Linked DNA regions of Mus musculus. The protein of the gene in region 3 binds, or shares a complex with, the protein of the main gene of each other region. Links are inferred from orthologs where the notes say so. Each region holds a gene or a part of one and is shown on either strand. Other genes may lie near its edges. The genes, in order: Drc3, Efcab2 and Iqcd.

Region 1 (6,882 bases), on a different chromosome or scaffold from region 3:
GAGCACTGGTGCTCTCCCAAAGGATCCAGGTCTGACTCTCAGCACCCACATGGCAGCTCACAGCTGTCTGTAATTCCAGTTCCAGGTTCTGACACCCTCTTCTGGCCTCTGTGAGCACAAGGAATCAAGTGGTGTATAGACATACATGAAGGCAAAACAAACACATAAAATTGAAATATTTATATATATACATGCACATATATGTGTTTATATGTAAACACATAAAATTGCAGTATTTACATACACACACATATACATACAGAGAAAAAGAGATACTTGAGTGAACATCAGAGAAAGAAGCGTCATAGAAGTGGGAAAAGACTTTCAGGTCCCAGAATCCATGATCACTTATAAAAGACACTTTATCAAAAAAGAACAGAATGGCAGGGTGTGGTGGCACACACCTTTAATCCCAGCACGTGAGAGGCAGAGGCAAGCGAATTTCTGAGTTTGAGGCCAGCCTGGTCTACAAAGTGAGTTCCAGGACAGCCAGGGCTACACCGAGAAACCCTGTCTCAAAAAACAAAAACAAAAAGCCAAAAGCCAAAAACCAAAACCAAACAAACAAAAAACCCAAAAGGAACAGAATGCTCCCAAATGTCAATCAACAACAGAAAAAGCCTCCGTAAGTTTGTAAGCTTAACAACAGAAAAGTAGGCTATAAATTCATATACAAAGTAGAAACAAGCAAGTCTCTACTGCTTGAACTATAAGACCCATAAGGATAGTACAGAGCCCAGTTCATAAAAGATGATTTCAACCAGCCGGCAGACCCAACTTTAATTTTCAAAAATGTTACATATGTGGGCGTTTTGTTTGCCTGTCTGTGCACCATTTACATGGTATGTTTAGGTATGTATATAAAAGACACCAGAAGAGGGCAATCAATCCCCTGGATGTGAAGTTACAGCCAGTTGTGAGCCACTATGCAGTGCCAGGGCCTGAATCTGGATTAACAGCCAATGTCTTTAACCGGTGAGCCAGTTCTCCAGCCCCAAGTTTGTTTGTTTTTAAAGCTAGTCAGCACTTTTGACTGATCTGTTGGCATAAGCTCCCACCTTGGATGAAAGGCCAAATTGCTTTATTATTCATTACTTGCAGTGCTGGATCCTAGATCAAATCCAGGATTTTGTGTGTGCTAAGTTAATGCTCTACCACTGGACTATTCCCTGGTCTGCCAGTGTTTTCTTCTGTAAGGAAACTTCACAGCGGCCAGTGCCATTCCTTATGCAGCATGCGGCCCGCCTCTAACTCCTTACACTACTGACAGCTGCTCTGATTACTCTACTACCACTTTATGTAGTGGGAGAGCAAGAGGCAATGTAAGGAGACGCTTAATATCAACAAGGAAGATTCAGAACTTTAGAACTTGAAGAGTCCCACCACATCTTATCTCCAAATACCCCGTGTGGCAGACAAGAGAACGTCAAAATATAAAGCGCACAAGGTCAGGAGGAGCGTCCCTGGCAAAGTCACTACTGGAGTCCAAGTTTCCGGGATCCAATGGACTGCTTATCAACAAAGCAGCCCTGCCTCCCTTCTTTCCTAGGAGGCCTAGGAGATTCTGCCGCCACGCCATCCCCCTGCCAAGCCAGTCACTTTCCCCGAGGGCCTCCCCCATCCCAGTCCCTCCTACAGCCTGACTGAGTTGCAGCTCAAATTAGAAGTCGTGCAGCATGGGGCATTTTCTGGGAAAGTGCCCAGCCTCAGAGCCATTGGTACCAATGAGCAGGGACAAGGACGGAAGAAAGAGTTCCATTCCACAAAGGCTCCGGGAGACAGAGGCCCTGGGAGCAAAGGCAGCGAGATACCTGGGGAAGAGTACTCGCAGTGACATCTCCCAATACGCAAGGGTAAGCAGACTAGCATGGACACTACTTCTGGGGAGAGACTTGAAAGGCTGGGCCCTGATGGGCAGGGATGCCGGGGACCTCTCTAAGTCCAATCGGCACCTCGGGGGAGCCTCCTTGTAGGGTGAGGTGGCACCAGCGTCAGGCAGAGGCCTCGTGACAAGGATGCCCAGTCCACCTTTGAGATGACACCACTTATTGGCAGAGGCCCAACCCGCACGTGAGGTGATTTCAGTGCCGGGAGGAGGCCCGCGGATCTCACCAGCCCGGTCAGCCGCTGTGGCTCACTCGACGCCTGCCCCACGCGCGGCCTTACCAAGACACTGCCCTACAGGGGTGCTGAACGGATTCCCCAGCAGGAACTCCATCTCGGCGGGCCTCGTTCCAGCCCGGACTCCTGTGTGCCACGGGTCTCCGCTGCCCGCGCCGCGTTCTGCCCTGACTGACACTTGCCCCCGCCCCACCCTCCGGAACGCTGAGCGCCCGGCCTGACCTCGCCCTCTGGGTGCATCTCTATTGGGCAGCGTCTAACCAGCCCACTTCCGATTGGACGACACTCCACTCTCAGTGAAGTCCCACCCACCCCGCGGCGTCCGATTGGGCACGAAGCAAGCTAAGTCACTAGGGTCTCCGTCAGCCTAGCGGCACAACCCCCGGACCCGCCTCCAAACGAGTGGCCGTTCTTCTTGATTCATTAGCACGTTGGTCAGTCTAGAGAATCTTTACTATTATTGGATAAAAGGTGTGTCAATCGTTTACATAGGCGGGCAGAAAGAAAGCGTAACTAGAAGTTGAAGCTCGTTGACTGTGCTGATTGGAGAAACGTTTGTTTTCTTCAAGTCTGGTTGGTGTTAGAAATATGGCCACGTGACGAATCAACTTTCACCCAGGATATTTATCGCTTGACTTCCCCTTAGCAACCAAGTGGCGGTGTTTGGTTCCCCAGCAACCAAACGAAGCGTCTACTGCAAGGGGAGACAGTCCTTAGGAAGGTAAGAATCAAGAGTTTAGCTCCAGAAGATTAGAGGTTGCATGATTGAGGTCTGTCTTGTAACTCTTCTTGGAGGACTCCGACCTGACCCGTCTCATCTGTAAAATGAGCACACATGTCATTTTTACACTTGTACTGAGACTTAATCGGGCTTTTGAAAAAGAAAAGAGCGTATAAAATCTTAAACTAGCAAAAGCAAGTAGGAAAAGGGTCCATCAGCCAGTTTCCTGGCCTGATTCGTTTCACTGAAAGAGAGGTACCCGATACACTGATAACTCATTCTAGAGTTTGGCTGTTATATCCATCCTCTTGATCTGCAATAAGGTATTTCATTTGGTGCCGTATGAAGTGTTTGCGATGAGAATAAAGATATCAAGGTTCCATCTCAGTCTCTGTCAGTAATTCACTCTATGACTTTGGTCACAGACCCCCCCCCCGGCCCCCCACATACACACATACCTCAAGCCTCAATTTCCCTATCTGGGAAGTAGGGACACTAAGATGTCCCTTTTAAATAGCTCCCAGAACTGGCATGGAGTTAAATAAGTGGAGTGCACTGAGAGTACGACAAGGACTTATTCTCATCAGTTGCTTTTATTCTCATTACTGTGGGACTCATAGGGTCTACATAGTGTTTCAGGTCCAGCTAACCCAGGCTGTTGTTTCCCAGGTAAACCAGTGACGAGGCTACCTGGTTGATTTGTTTGTAAAGCTTTCTGCTGCTTCTCCACATCCTACCTCTGGTCTTCACCAAGGACACTATCATCAGGCAAGTCAATGGGACCCCCATTTGGATAAATTATTGACATCCTCCCCATAGGGGAGGATTCTTTGGGCCTTGTTCTGTAGGCAGAGAACATGTGACAATGTCTGTCCCTAGTGTGCTGGGTACAATAGAGTTGTGATTAAGAAAGTGGATTCTGTGTTAGACATGAGGTCGTGCCTCTTGGTAAATCTTCATATTAGTCAATCGAGAAATTTCTCTTACAGAGATCCCTACTGTGTGCTTTCATAGTTCCATACACCCACTAACCTGTCAATGTTTGTAAGTAGATATTGGGATAATTTATTTAATTCAAGTGTGGTTCAGAAGTCAGGCCACACCTCTTCAGTATCCTTTCACAAGGTTGGTTATAGAGAGCCGCTCTGACCTTGTAGCTTTCACAAAGTTCTCTCTTTCACTCCTTACAGATGTGAGCAAACCCAGCTTCCCCTGATTCCTGGGCCAAGACATACCTGAATTGCAACTTTACTCTCTTAACTAAGCCTGCCACCGTGCCAGGAGTCATGTAGACTAGGTCAGGTCAGGTCACATGGTATAGAACTAAAAGCCACCACTGTCGTTGTCCCCCCCCCCGCCCCCCAAAACTGTGAGTCGTAAGTCCCTTTGTTCTCTGGATCTGAGGGAGCTAATGGAACTGGAAGATTTGTCTTTCTCTTCTGGGCACCATGTGGCTGCCAAGATTCTGATGCAATCTCTCCTAGTGCCCTCTCACTTCAGGGCTCCTCATGGCTGTCTGTGGCCTCGAACCTCTGACTCTCCTAGCAAAATTCTTCTGGAGGGCAATTGATTTTAGCACTACTCCTCTTTCAAACACTATTATTGGGTCAATCAATTACTTTAGCTTAGGCATAACCTTCCAAACTAGATTTTGTCTCAGACCTTCCTATAAACTAAGTTCCTAGTGATGTCCCACCCCTCTGTATTACAACCACTCTGGTCACTCACTTTCCCCTCCCCTCCCCTTCCTTTCCTTTCCATTTTTGTTTGTTTGTTTGTTTGTTTTGACACAGGTCCCTCTGTGTAGCTCAAGCTGGCCTCATACTATGTAGACCAGGCTGGCCTCAAAAAGTCACAGGGATCTGCTTGTATCTGCCTCCCAAGCGCTAGGACTTGCACCACCACTCCTGGCTAGCCTCACTCCTTTTGTAATTCTTGCCACAACAGCTATAATAAAAACTAAAATCCGATCCATCTTCACCTTACAAGCCCTAGGAGCTTGCCAGCCATTATGGAATACAAATGCAATATAGACCCTGTATCACTTCTGCTTTCCAGCTTGGGGTCTTCACTGGGTTATCGTCTCTTCTTGCTTTCTTTTCTTTTTATCCCTCATATTGTATCTTCCCTGATCAAGCCAACTGACCCTACTAGGTGTTTTCACCATTCCCCACACCTACTAAGATGTTTGTAAGTAAATGCTGGTATAACAATTTAATTCAACTCTGAAACAAAGGACCTGTCCAAGGCTCACAGCATGTGGTAGTTATTTGATATGGATGTGTGGACTAAATACAGGTCCTTTCTTAGACAGATGTAAAAAAAAAAAAAAAAAAGAAAGAAAGAAAAGTAAAGAAAAAAAAAAAAAGCCAGGCAGTGGTGGTGCACATCTTTAATCCCAGCACTTGGGAGGCAGAGGCAGGTAGATTTCTGCGTTCGAGACCAGCCTGGTCTTACAGAGTGAGTTCCAGGACAGCCAGGGCTACATGGAGAAACCCTGCCTCAAAAAACAAAAAACAAAACAACAACAACAAAAAAAATTGACAGATGTAGAGTGGGGAGTTATCTACCTAACAGGAAAAAGACTTAAGCCGGTGACGTTACTTTTCAAAAGATACACAGTCAGAGGCAAAGTCCTCTCTGGGTGTAAACATTTAGCATAGTTCTTGCACCAATCCTATACTGCACAGAACCTGCTGAGCTGGACTGAATGCTATCTAGCATGACTGAAAGCTAGTTTGACCTGTCACAGTTAATGGGCTTTGATGAAACAGAGGTCAAAGTTTTGACACCAGAATTGAGTCATTTCCCAAAGCACAACACCCAAAAAAAAAAAAAAAAAAAAATTCCATGTACTTTTCAGATAACATCTGACAAATGAACCACTTTAAAAAATTTCCCCAGAGGTAAAATTTTGAGGTTAGTGGTAAATTATGAGGAACTTTAAGGGAAACTGTTTAGGAAGAATAGGATGCTGATGCGCACAACAACTGCTTGGGAAGACTGAGTCTGTCATTCGGTCACACTGAGGAAGAAGAATCAGTCAGTTACCCTGAGGAGGAAGAGTCAGTCAATCAGCCAGCCACCCTGAGGAGGAAGAGTCAGGCATTCAGTCATCCTGAGGAAGAAAAGTCAGTCAGTCACACTGAGGAGGAAGAGTCAGTCAGTCAGCAGTCACCCTGAGGAAGAAGAGTCAGTCAGTCACCCTGAGGAGGAAGAGTCAGTCAGTCAGTCACCCTGAGGAGGAAGAGTCAGTCAGTCAGTCACCCTGAGGAGGAAGAGTCAGTCAGTCAGTCATTTACTCTGAAGAGGAAAAGTAGACAGGAGAGAGTAGGAAAACAAGGTTGAGGTTTTGAAGGATCAGGGCACAGATGGAAAAAGAGCAGGGACCATGGAAGATACAAACATCCTTCACACTAGATAAGATATCAATGACAGGCCTAAGAAGCCAGTCCATCCAAGTATAACCTGTGAGCCAGTGAGCTCATTGCAGTGACTTACAGAAGGATGAGTGGCTCAAAGGCACCCCCAAATTGGGTGACAAATCATGCCAGTTTGGTCCTAGAGCTCTAAGTCTAACTTACAGATTGCTCTTATCAAAGATAAGTCTTTTCTTCCTCAGAAATTGTTTACTCCTCATATATAAACTCACTTTTCTTTGTGTGGTTGATTTGGTTTGGTTCGATACAGGGTCTCTCTATATTGAACCAAATCAAATTGGCTATCCTGGAACTCACTATGTAGAGTAGGCTGGCCTGAAACTCACAGAGATCCTCTTGCCTCTGCCTCCCTCACAGATGCTCGGATTAAAGGCATGCACCACCATGTGTGGCTCTATATCAGCTCTTCAGCAGCATCCTAGTGTTGTAACTCTGTGAGCTTCCTGCCTTCTATGAGTCACACTCTCTCTCCTGGGAGGAACTTTTTAATTCAGAGGAACTGGCTCTACAACATGGGGTAGGGAGTGGAAGGGAAGAGCAGGCAAGAGTTATTGGCATCTGAATCTTTGATTGGGATAGTGAAGGAATAGAAATAAATAC
Region 2 (6,857 bases), on a different chromosome or scaffold from region 3:
CAGAAATCTAGGAAAAAGAAAATTATGCTGTTCAAACACAAAATAAGCTACAGGGAAACATAACATCAACATATATAACCACACAGAAAGTATTTTTTAAATACATGAAAATCCCAAATCATTCTTTTTTCCTTTTCTTTTCCTTTCTTTTCTTTTCTAAGTTTTGGGTTTTTTAGACAGGGTTTCTCCCTGTAGTCCTTTGTAGGCTAGGCTCTCCTGGAACTCAGAGATCCGCCTGCCTCTGCCTCCTGATGGCTCGGATTAAAATCCTGTTTCACCGCCAGGCCCCAGGCCATTCTTAATCCATATTATCCACTTGACTGGATACCTCTGGATGTATTTCAGGGGCTTTTCCAGAGACAACCGGATCTTGAGGGCACCAACCTAATCCGTTTCAATCCACTGATAGATTCAAATTTGAACAGAACCTTGAAAAGTAAGCTCTCCTAGAGGAAGCAGGACGCTGGACAGTGTGCCTTGAGGATCTTATCTTGGCCCTGGCTCCCTATTGCTCCTCTTGGCTTCTTGTTTTCCATTTCTTCCTCTCTTATCTCCCTTACTGATAACCTCCCCTTTGGGGAGGACAAAGACAATGCCTTCTTCATCTCGCTATTCACTAAAGTTCTGCCCTGATGTAAGGGCTAAAGTTAAGCTTTAAACCCCACTCGCCCAAGGACAGATAACTCCCAGGAATGCAGAGGGCTGTTGTTTTTGTCAGATAATGAATCCCTGTTCCCCTTCAATAAACAAAGTTTGTTGTCCCAACTGCACAGGATGTGCTTGGTCACATCCAGGCAGGAGACGCACAGGCAGGAAGGAAGTCAGGATGTATGCTTGCCCCAGTGAACCAAGGTGGAAAGTAAGGAGTTTCATGAGCCTGGCCTAACAGGCACCTGAAGGATGGAATTCATCACCATTTCTGTAAGAATCCCACATAGGGACATGGCCAGTGTCCATCTTCCTGGCCAGTATTTAATAAAGCTTACTTCAGTTGGACAACCATGGATTCCATCTTCCTCATCACAATTTTCAGGTTTAACATTCACCAGACTACTTTCCATGAAGCAAGCATTAAATATATAAGAAATTGAATATATGAAATCCAGCTTTCAACAGCCATTACTTCCACAGTTAGTTGCAGACTGAACTGTTTTTTCTCCTAAACTTACACTAAACATTAAAATATGTTTTGGAAACTAAAGAAACAGAAATTCTGTCTGTCTCTGTCTCTCTCAAGCAGGGATAACAACTGTAAAAATCAGGCTGGGTGTGGTGGCACACAGTTTTAGTCACAGCACTCACTCAGATGCAGACAGGTGCATCTCTGGGAGTTCCAGACCAATCAAAGCTACAAGGTGAGATCCTAAGTGTTGTGTGTGTGTGTGTGTGTGTGTGTGTGTATAATTTTACATTGTAAAAACTTGCAGTATACTCCAATGCTACCCTAAATAAGTCTTTAACTTAAAAAGAAAAGGAGGGGTCTGGAGAGATGGATATTTGTTCCCACTGTGTTAATAACACCTATTGTGTCTCTAGTTGTGGTGTGTTTCAGCTTTAGCATATGCATTTATCCAAGAGTTCTCTGCTTGAATATTATAAACAAAATTAAATAAAGTCAACCATAAGTTAAGAGGTGGAACAAGCAACCAATTGACAGAGAGTAAACATAGGATTATTTAAAAAAAAAAAAAAAAAAAAAAAAACAATGTCTGGGACACTGGCTGAGGAGCAGGGTCAGCTGGGTGCTTTCTCTGCTTCTCTGAGCTAGCAAACTTTCACCACAGATTCTGGCTCCCGGGTTTTCATTGGTAAAACCAAATGATTTAGATTTTGTTTAAAAAACAAAACAAAACAAAAAAAAAACCCAAAAAACAAAAAAACAGATGGCTCAGAGGTTAGAAGCACTACCTGCTCTTCCAGAGAATCCTGGATCAATTCCCAGAACACACATGGCAGCTCACAACCATCTGCAACTCCAGTTCTGGGGGATCCGACACCCTCACAAGGACATACACAAAGGCAATACACCAATACACATAAGGTAAATTAATTTAAAAAATAATTCATCCCCTAATGATTTTCTCCTTTACTTTTTTTGAGGGGGGTAATAAAAGTATAACTAAAAAAAAAAAAATACTTTCTGGGGAAGCTTTTTTTTTTTTTTTACCTAAAACTTTTTTTTTTTTTTTTTTTTGAGACAGGGTTTCTCTGTGTAGCCCTTGTTGTCCTGGAACTTACTTTGTAGGACCAGGCTGGCCTCGAACTCAGAAATCTGCCTGCCTCTGCCTCCCAAGTGCTGGGATTAAAGGTGTGCACCACCACCCCCGACTCACCTAAAACATTTTTTATACAACATATTTTGATCATATTCTTTCCCTTCCCCCAACACCTCACCGACACTCCCTGCCCTCTAACTTCATATTCTTTGTAAAAACAACAACAAAAAAGTAGAATAAAACCTTCCATTTCTAAAATAGCACCACAAAAATCTTGATACCTTAGTAGAGTTAAAACTCTATACTACAATGCCGACTTCTGAGATTAATTTTACCATCTATAAATCACAGGTCATCAATAAGATCTCTAGCTGCCAGGAGTGGTGGCGCACGCCTTTAATCCCAGCACTCCGGAGGCAGAAGCAGGCGGATTTCTGAGTTCGAGGCCAGCCAGGTCTACAAAGTGAGTTCCAGGACAGCCAAAACCAAAAAAAAAAAAAAAAAAAAAATCTAGGGTCTCAAGTTTCCCTGCTGGGTTCCTGTAATCACCATGACAATGGACTAAACAACTCGTGTAAATATTAGTTGTTAACCTAACTACTGTGTTCCAAACCAGAGGGTGGGGGTGGGGGTGGGGGAATACAAGAGGGAGGGGAGAGAGTCAGCAAAGATGGAGTGTTACTTTCACTTTTTTTGCAATGTTTGCCATTTACTATTTTAGGGCTTGCTTGACTATTTATTTAGCGGTGATGTTGTCAATTTATCACGTAATGGCTGTTGAGTCACAGATCCGATTTTAAGTCATTCGGCTGGGTTAGCAACAATTCAAAAGGTCTTGCAGTTCAACATGAAACATTAGTTTTTCGGGTCCCCTGAGGCCTCTCGGGTACCCGGCCGGTCTGGGCGGCCCGACAAGTCCCGGCTGGGTTTTCTTTAAAGTGATTAAAGTGCGTGTTCCTTATGCAAGGCTCTAGCGCGACCCGGGCCGCTAGGGCCCAGTCTGACCTGGAGGCTGCGCTCCGCCTGGCGGAGGAGGAGGCAAAATGGAGGCGGCTGGGGCCGGGTTGGGCCGGGCTGGGCGGGGTTTCGGCACAGCCGCAGAGGATCCCGCCAGGTTCTAGTCGCAGCTCCAGTCCTCCATGAGGCCGCCCTCCGGGTTACCCACAGCCCACCCAGACCGCGGCTGGCGCCCTCACGGGGAGGGGAGGTGCCAGGGACAAGGACGCCATTATGAACCTCCCCGGCGGGGGCTACAACAGCCCGCGCAGACCTCTCGAGGGGACGGGAGGGCGGACGGTGGGGACGCGGGCTGGCGCCGCTTTTCAGCCCACTGTCGCCACGCCGAGGGGCTCAAGATGTTGGCCGGGGGGCGCTTCCTCAGGCGCAGAGGCGACGTCGTGGCACCCCAGGCAGGGTCCTACCTGTCCCTTCCGCGTCCCTTTCCTCCGCCATCTTGGTGCGGAGCCGGTCGCCCGGGAGACATCCAGCACGAACCCTGCGGGACCCCGCGGGCGGAGAAAGCCCCTGGATGCACGGTGGCCCCCCGATCCCCGCCCCCACCAGAACCGAGGCCCGCGTTCTTTGGGCCTAGGGGCGTCATTTATTAACAAGGCTCCGGAACCCGCCTGGGCCTGATTGTGACTGTCAAGGACGTAGTGTGCCTTGCTTATTTCTTTATTCATTTCTTTAATTACTTATTTTATTCAGCTTTTTTTTTTCCCGGCCGTCTCAGGTGCGCCCCAGAACCGGGCGCAGACCTGGCGGCCCCTTACACGGTCCCTCCCCGAAAAGCGTCCGCCCACCCCAACCCCACCCGAGCCAGGCCTTGTGGCTCTCTGGCGTCACCCTCTCCTGAGCGGAGCCACTCTGCCAGTCACGGAACTGGAGCGAAAACGGACATGGGCCAGTGCAGGAGGAAGCCCAGCCTTTCCCCGGGATCGCAGAGAGAGAGAGAGAGAGAGAGAGAGAGAGAGAGAGAGAGAGAGAGAGAGAGGACTTGCTGTAGAAAAACATGTGCAAAATAGGCGCAAACACTGCGTCGCCAAGGCTGCAATTTCTGATACAAAATAGTGTTCTCATAGCAACAAATAAATTGACGGTCTGTTCTCAGGGATACACACATTTTGTATGTTGATGGTGCAATTTGGCATGACCTTCCGATGAGAATTTTGAGTACTGAGAAACTTGGCTATCGCGTGTTTTGTTATTTGATGGATAAGCTCAGAATACTAAGATTCTCCCTTAAATGAAACCCCCCCAAAACAAACAAACAAACAAACAAACAAAAAAAACCCAACAGTTTTGAAATGTCTAACAATGTGACTCAAATTAATATCTAGTTTTAATCTTTAATGATAATTTCATGGTATATGTGTACTTATTTAAATATTTTTGTAAAAGTAACTAAATGTAGAGGCCTTTGTTTTGTCTTGATTTTTCTTTAATATAGTTATTTATTCACTTTACATCTCAGTATTTTATTTTTTATTATTAGTTTTTATTCATCGAAGTTCTGTAATCTCAGTGAATGAACCCTCAAAGCAGGCCAACTGTACTCTTCATTAAAATATTTTTTTCTATAGGCAATAAAGATTTGATGAAGTGTCTAACTACAATTTGAATAATCAGAAAATGGTGCATATCAAGCAAATTTCCCCAGCACTCAGGAGGCAGAGGCAGGCAGATTTCTGAGTTCGAGGCCAGCCTGGTCTACAGAGTGAGTTCCAGGACAGCCAGGGCTACACAGAGAAACCCTGTCTCAAAAAAACAAAAACAAAAACAAAAACAAAACAATAAAACAAAAAGAAAGAGAAAGAAAGAAAGGAAAAGAAAGAAAAGAAAGACTTCCAAGATGAACTCAAGCATACAGTAAATTAATCACCCCAAAATATGGAAGAGTAATTTATATTAATATTTTATTTATTTTATATTAATATTTTATTTATTTTATATTAATATTTACATTCTGTGTGTTCCCCTTACTCTCCCTGAAGATGAAGGACTTTGTAGCAAGTATGGGAAGGAAGAGAACTGTCCCTTCCTGATGGAAGGTGACCCTGAGCATTGCCTGCCCCTTATCTTTACCTCCTCTTCAATGGTCCCATAGGCAAAGTTTTCAAAATGTTTATAGTGCTTTTATTTTATTTACTTGTTTCTACCACATACATTTCCAGCCAGTAACGTTGTTCTATACACTGGGACATTCTGACTGGAATTGTGTGTGAGAGATGTGTGTGTGTGTGTGCGTGTGTGCGCACGCACCTGTAGCTTGTAGTTTGTGTCTTTGCTTTAGTGTTTTGTATGAGGAAGGATTCTCTTTAGGTGCTCAGACTGGTCTTAAATTCCTGGGCTCAAGTGATGCTTCTGTTCAGCCTTCATGAGTTTCTAGAACTTCAGGTGCACACACTGACATCTAATCTGAAATAATATAGGTCTTAAAAATGAAAACAAGCTAGTGTTCTCAATGACTTTTCCAAGCCACTCAGATTCAATGAACTTACTGTAAGACAGATTTTCCTCTTGCTTTATATTTTTGTATCAATAAAAGTATTGGCAGCACATGGTAAAAAAATGGAATCCTTACATAAGCATTTGTTCATAGACCTAGTTAACATTTAAAAGTTAAGCAAATTTCTCTGTAACTCCCCTCCTAACATTTTGTACATTCTACTAAACTAATAAAGTATTTCATTTTAGTTATTCTAAATCATATTAGTTTGTACTCCTTTGAGTTCTTCTTGAAAATTTAAAACAATACCATCAAATCAGGTGAGGAAGTTGGGAGATGGAGGCAGGAGGATCAGGAGTTCAAGGTCACCCTCATACAGCAGTGAGTTCAAGGTCAGCATGATGATGGAGATTTTACTCAACTGTAAAAGGTACATGCTTACCATTCATAAAAGCCTAGGTCCAATCCCCAGCACCAATAAAAAGAAACTACAACCAAAAGGCTTGGACCTTAGGTAGTTAATACACTGTTGATCTAGGTTTAGCATTCACACCTATAGTCACAGCATTGGGAGGCTGGGATGAAGATTTCTGAAAGTTCAAGGTCTGCCTGCGCAATAGTCTAAGACCCTATAACAAAAAGCCAAATTAAAAAAAAAAAAATACTGCAGGGCAGGTAGTAAAAAAGAAAGAAAGACCAGGCAGTGGTGGTGCATGCCTTTAATTCCAGCACTTGAGAGGCAGAGGCAGGCAGATTTTTGAGTTCAAGGCCAGCCTGCTCTACAGAGTGAGTTCCAGGACAGCCAAGGCTACACAGAAAAACCCTATCTCAAAAAAACAAAAAAACAAAAAAACTACTCCCTCTCCAACTTTGAAGACAAGAGACACAACTTACCCATATTTACAGTACCTAGCCTCACTGGAGCCTATTTTAAGTATTTAATTTTCCAACTTGGTTAATGTACGCTTATTTTTTTTTCAAATCTACTTTTAATATGGATTCTTAAATACTTTAACCTCCCTTCTAGCCCACCACCCATCAGAGGTAGTGGGAAAGAAAGGTTATTAGGATACGGGGAAGTGGACCTAAACAGAATTGTTCTTTGGAGCAAATCTCAGCTGCGTTGTCAGGAAATCAGCAGTTCGGTTCTCAGGAGTCAGCAGTTGTAGCTCTATCCACTCGAGAACACTTCA
Region 3 (6,125 bases):
CATTCGTACAGGACACCATGACGTCCCAGGCTCACACTTCAGCTTCCCTGGACCTATAATGTAATATTAGCTGTCTGTTGAAGACATATCATGTCTGAGCCTTGTGCTCGAACCTAAGGAGTCTTGCCTTACAGTAAAGAGAACCCAGGCCCCCCTAACCAGACTTAGGTCTCCCAGCAAGGACTGCAATCCAGCCACTGTGCAACCAAAGTTTTAAGTCTTTTCTTTAAAGTTAGGGTTTCTTTGTGTAGCCTTGGCTGTCCTGGAACTCACTCTGCAGACCAAGGTGGCCTCGAACTCAGAGATCCACCTGCCTCTGCCTCTTGAGTGCCAGGATTAAAGGTGTGTGACCCTATGCCCAGCTTGCCAAAGAATTTGGCAAAAATTTCTGATGTCTCCATTGAGTTCAAGACAAACCTTTTACTTCGTAACAATTGTGGATAATATATATCCTCCGAATTCTTCTGAAAGCTCCCCCTGATGTTACTTTATAGGTCAGAACTAAGAAAGTAACATTGCCAGCCCGGGGTAACCAATGACCACACATGCCTGCAATCCTCAGGCTTTGGGGATGGAGGCAGGAGTTGCTACACAACAAGTCCTGGGCCAGCCTGGGCTACATGAGACTCTGTCTCAAACAGAAACAAATATGTAAGTCACTATCCATACAGTTCTGTTAACCAAACCTTGGATTTAGTGACATCCCAGATGTTACCCTGATGCCCTTTCTGTTTCAGAACAGAGCCCTGACCCTTTAACACAGTTTCTCATGTGCTACTGATCAGATCACCAGCCATAAAATTATTTCACTGCTACCTCATAACTGCAATGTAACTATCTTGATATGCAAGATATCTGATATGTGACCCATTCGTGGGGGGTGGGTCTTGACCCACGTGCTGAGAACCTCTAGTTCAGGACTTGATTTGATTTTCAGGAAAATGGACTAGCCTCCTCCCTCCCTCCCTTTTCTTTCTTGTCTTTTCTTCCATGTGTTGGCATTACCGGCCAGCCCCACAGCACCTGGTGAGTAATTATTTTGTTTGTTTTGAGACAGGGTTTCTCGATGTAGCGCTGGCTGTCCTAGAACTCACTCTGTAGAGCAGGCTGGTCTGGAATTCAAGAGATCCACCTGTCTGTGCCTCCCAAGTGTTGTGATCAAAGGCATGCACCACCACTGCCTGGCTTAACTTTATTCATTTACTTACTTACTTACTTACTTACTTACTTACTTACTTTTGGAGTTTTGAAAATATACTTAGGCAGGCCTTGAACTCTCAGCCATCACCCTGCCTGCGCCTCGTGGGTGCTGGTCTTAGCAGATACCACATCTCCTGAAACTTTCTGTACTCTGTATTTTGAAGTTATTGTTACAACTCTGCCCCAGTTTTCAAATCAATACCCCCAAAAAACTCACCCGGCCAGGATCAGGAGTGGTGGCTGTCTTGGGAAAGTACCTGCCACACAGGCATGGTGAGCTGGGTTCCATCCCCAGAGCTCACACGAAAAGCCAAGGACGTAGGCAAGAGTTTGTAATCTCAGCCTTGGGGAGGTGAACCCACTGGCTTGCTGGCGGCCAGCCTGCCCAAGCTGGTGAGGTTCCAGTTTAGCCAGAGACCCTGTCTCAAAAAGTAAGGAGACAGATGAAGAAAGACACCTGATAGTGATATCTGGCCTGCATGGGGACATATAATATGTAGAAGTGCACACATGCACATGTACACACATGCACACACTATGCATACCTGATCACAGATGCTCCCGGTGTGTGCTGGTACACAGTCATCCACCCTGCTTGGCCTTGCCCCTGTTCAGCTCTGTCCATGTCCTGTCCTATCCTGTCCTACTCTGTGTGACCTGTCCTCCTGTGTCAGTGTCTGCTCCTATTCTGTGGCCCATCCTGCTCTGTCCCTGTCCCGTCCTAATGTTCGGCATGTCCTGCTCCTTGCCCCAGACTCCTCCGCATCCTGGCCTGATGATGTGGTACACCAGTGGCCCAGGCTCTTGAGTTGGTTTCCTGCTGGTTTAGCATCAACGTGGGGGGGGGGAATGCAAGTTGGGGCTAGGACATTTCCACTCTCTGATCAGACAGTGCTTGCAGTCACAGCTGCAACTCCTCTGGGGTCTACTGCCCCTGGTGAGCCCAACACATGTGGCTTCCTGCTGCTGGAGCTGCTGGGTGACCTCAGTTGCCTGAAGCTGTCCTCTCTCTGTTTCTGCCTCTTGGGTAACCCTTGGAGGTTGGTCCCCAGAACAGAGGCTGCTTTTTGCCTGATAGATGTGCCTGCAGCTGCCCTCCACCCTCAGGCCTCCTACCCCCACCCCCGCTGGCTCAAGCACCATCACGAAGCCAAAAGATAAGCTTGCCAGGGTGGTACACGCCTATAACCGTAGCCCTCAGATCGGGAGGAAGGGACAGCCTAGGCTATAATGGACCATATCTCCAAACCAAACCTTGAAGACAAAAAAGCTAAAAGTAGCTTTGAGGTTCTGTACAGTGGTCATCATGGCCAATGGCGATGTACCTCACAGTCACCCCTTCCTCTGCAGGGTTACTGGAGGCTGTGAAATCCAGGAGAGCCTTGAGTTGGCGGCTGCCTCAGTACCAGATTATACCGAGGCAAAGGCAGCCTCTCCAGAAATGGCCTTGGACCAGGTCAGCATACCCCCTTCCTACCACGGACTGGCCATCCAAAGAATCCCACTGAGAACAGGTCTAGTCCCAGCAGAGCCGATGAAGACCTTAGTCCCATCCAAATCCAAGCTCAACACCATCGAGGCCAAGAGGATCATGTCAGTCCTGGATGAGGCCATACACAAGATAGAGCTGATAACCCTGATGTCCTACATGGAGTCCCACCCAGAGGCTCTGGAGGACACGCTGCCCGAGGATTTCGTGAGAGCCCTAAGAGAGCACTTGGACATTGGCCAGACCCTGGTGGAGAGGGCCAGCATCCTGCAGAGGAGACACAAGAAGCTGGAGGAAGAGGAAGAAGCCGAGGAAACTAGGAACCAGGAACGCCTACTGTCCCTAGAGCTGCACAAGGTGAACCTGCTGACGCTGGCGCACCAGTTCCGAGACTCCACCAAGACTGTCCTGAGGCTCGTGCTGGGCGAGCCTCAGTTCACCAGGCTGTTACAGGTACAGGCGCCAGGCAGAAGCCCGGGGGCCCAGTGCCTCCTCGACGGTCTGGTGGAGCTTCGAGGTTTCCTCTTTGAGAAGCTCCTCACCAGCCCCATGGAAGTCAGGGAGAAGAACCAATTCATACAGGACATCAGCCGGAGGAGCGAGAGGAACCAGGAGGTCATCGATGACCTCCAGGCTGAGCTGGCCAACGTGCTGAAGAACAAGGAGTCAGAGGTACACCTCCCTAAGGCATCCCCCAAATTAGGGGAGAAACCTCACCCAAACAGGCCAACCCTCTGGGATTTGCCTCTTCTCTCATGGGTTTCAATAGCTCTCTCCCTTCATTTAATCCTCAGAAATTGTTCTGAGCATTTTCCTAGGAGGTCTGTCTGTAGGAAAAGCCCAACCTCCGGAGCTCAAGGAAGGACAAGGGCAGGGCGCTATCAAGGGATGATGTAAGAGAACTAAATCCTGGCCAGAAGGACTAGGGACAGCGCCACTAAGACAGGGAGGACACAGAAAGCGGGATTGAGCCAGACAAGCAAGGCAGACCTTCCCAGCCAGGGGTTGGCAAAGTGTCTGTGTCACTGGCTAAGTGGGTCCTTTGTCTCGGGTAAGATAGACACCAGACATGTGGGGGAGGAGTTGGAGAGATGGCTCAGAGGTTAAAAGTGCAGGCTTTTGTCTGTTGGAGTCAGGGTCTCACTCTACAGCCTTGACTGGCCTGGAACGCCATAGAATCCCACCTGCCTGTGCCTCCCAAGTGTTGGGATTAAAGGCATGCGCCACCACTCCCAGTACACATTGCTCTTACAGAGCAACAGAGGTCAGTTCCCAGGCCCTCTGGCCAGCTGCTTGCAAACACTGTTTACTCCAGCTCTCCCGGGGAATCTCACGCCCTCTGCTGGACACCACAGGCACCTGCATTCACTTGCATGGGGCCAGGCATGGCTCCGTGAAGACAAAGCCTTCTGTGCGAGCCAGGGGATTTGAGTGTGGGCTCCAGAGCCACTCTGTTCCCTGAGACTGGGCAGGCAGGGACAGGAGTCAGTGGCCCACCAGCCTAGCATAGCCAACAAGCTCCAGGCCAAAGAGAGAGGTGTATGACAGTTGAGGCTGTACACACAAAGGCTGTACACACAAGCACACACATGCACACATGCAGGCCACTCTATAGCTGTGAACACAGAGCTGTGACATCCAAAGCTTCCGCAGGCAGCTTAAAGTGCACCTGTACCTGCATTCCAACCAGCCCCACCCCCACCCAGATTTTCCTAGAGAGCGTATTAGAATGAGTCTCAGATCTGTTGCATCTTGGCAGCTGTGGGTCGTCCATGGCTACTGTCTTCCTGCACACACTTGCCAGCTTTCTTTCTGGCTCCATATCCCATCTCCAAAGGGTCACACATCCCACACACTGGGCTCAGTGAGCTAACGGTCTCAACATGTCTCTGTTGTTAGTGTGGAAGCAGCCATGGAGAGTATCAGGACTGAAGGGCTGTGTCCCAATAATACTTTATTGACAGCTATGGCTGGCTGGATTTGCCCTGTAGGCCTTGGCCAACCCCTTTCCTAGGGGAGGGGAGCATGTGGTCCCAGGCCGGAGAGACGCATAAGCCCCTAGGGGAGGGGCACAACCAAAGGCCAGCTGTCCTGTGACTGGGAGTGGGAGGACTGCGTGGCTATTAAATAGGGCCCTGTCCTCATTCGTCCTGGCCTAGGTGGAGAAGGAGAACTTTGTGATCCAGGAGCTGAAGAACCATCTGCACCAGGTGTTCAAGTTTTCGGAGAACAGCCTCCTCCGCACGAAGCAGGAGGCCGAGAAGCAGCAGAAGGTGGATTTCCGGGCCTCCCAGGTCAGGCTGGCCAAGACGCAGCAAGATATCCTGGCGCTTCGGGCACAGTACCACAACCTGGTCATGGAGAACCGGGAGGCAGAGCAGGCACTAAGGAAGGTGCCCTGAGGTCTCAGGGGTACAGTGGGGGTGGGGGTGGGGGTGGGGGGCAGCAGGGCTGGCCCAGGGGTGCGAAAGCCCAAGATAGGTGGGATCTCCTGGGAGGTGGGAAGGGGAAGCAGCCAAACCAAGAGTTGGGTCAAGGAGGTCAAATCCCCATCCCAGAATTAGGGCACTAAAGCTCAGTGACCTCCCCAAAGTCCCTGGGCTCCCCTGAGCCCGAAAGGATGATGGCCCCTTCTTGAAGTAGCTCGTGACCCTCAGGCAAACTGAACAGGACCCTTCCGTGTCTGGTTCTCATGAGCTCTGAGGAAGCATAGCTGGAAGTGTGGGCACAGCGCGTGCTGTGAGCATGTGCCAAGCATGGCTGCTTTGTTTGTTCCCTGTCTCAACCGTGCTCCAACCACCTCTCAAGTCTCTTTCCGAGGACACCTTCTTACAGACCAGTCCCCAGTCTTTTCCAGTGTCCTGACTCTCTGAGAATCTCATGGAAGTTGTGTGTCTCCAGACAAAAGGCCGAGGTCTGCACTAGATTGGTGGACAGTCCCAGAGGGTCACGGGGGTGTGGGGGGTGGGAGTGCTGAAGCCAGCCTGCCTTCAGGGCCCACACTGAGAACAGCTCTGGGGAATCTAGAGGCTCCTTTGGTTTTGTTAAAGACGACGACGCAGAGCTGGGAGGACGGCTCGGCGAGGGAAAGGCCCTTTGCAGTCAAGCCTGATACCCTGAGTTCAATCCCCAGGACCCATAGGATAGGAGAGAACCCATTCCTGCAAGTTGTCCTCTTCCCCCTGCCCACATTCCACTATTGTTTTTGTGCATGCACACACACACACACACACACACACCAATGAAAAGACAGTCAATGCACTCCAAAGAAGTCTCCAACTCACAGCAGTCCTCTACCCCATCCCCCCACTCCTTTGCCAAGGGCTGTGATCACATGCACCCATCACGACACCCACTATCTGCTCCTTTTCATTTGAGGTAAAAATCCACATAAAATACAAATATCCATTTAAAAGCAGCCCACTTGGTATCATGT

Evidence for each region.
Region 1: Iqcd (region 3) and Drc3 share a complex: the UniProt entries of both Homo sapiens proteins name them as parts of the nexin-dynein regulatory complex. The link is inferred for Mus musculus from reciprocal best matches to the Homo sapiens genes DRC10 and DRC3.
Region 2: Iqcd (region 3) and Efcab2 share a complex: the UniProt entries of both Homo sapiens proteins name them as parts of the nexin-dynein regulatory complex. The link is inferred for Mus musculus from reciprocal best matches to the Homo sapiens genes DRC10 and DRC8.

Annotation. Positions count from the first base shown.
Region 1 is NC_000077.6:60,350,591-60,357,472, forward strand, and holds the start of Drc3 (dynein regulatory complex subunit 3), read left to right. Parts: upstream 1-2,789; 5' UTR 2,790-2,842; intron 2,843-3,511; 5' UTR 3,512-3,610; intron 3,611-6,882. Other genes in the region: Tom1l2 (TOM1-like protein 2), read right to left, coding at 2,167-2,218. UniProt on the Homo sapiens protein: Component of the nexin-dynein regulatory complex (N-DRC) a key regulator of ciliary/flagellar motility which maintains the alignment and integrity of the distal axoneme and regulates microtubule sliding in motile axonemes.
Region 2 is NC_000067.6:178,402,914-178,409,770, reverse strand, and holds the start of Efcab2 (dynein regulatory complex protein 8), read right to left. Parts: upstream 3,754-6,857; 5' UTR 3,669-3,753; coding exon 3,638-3,668; intron 1-3,637. UniProt on the Homo sapiens protein: Component of the nexin-dynein regulatory complex (N-DRC), a key regulator of ciliary/flagellar motility which maintains the alignment and integrity of the distal axoneme and regulates microtubule sliding in motile axonemes.
Region 3 is NC_000071.6:120,597,478-120,603,602, forward strand, and holds part of Iqcd (dynein regulatory complex protein 10), read left to right. Parts: intron 1-2,550; 5' UTR 2,551-2,641; coding exon 2,642-3,361; intron 3,362-4,848; coding exon 4,849-5,082; intron 5,083-6,125. UniProt on the Homo sapiens protein: Component of the nexin-dynein regulatory complex (N-DRC), a key regulator of ciliary/flagellar motility which maintains the alignment and integrity of the distal axoneme and regulates microtubule sliding in motile axonemes.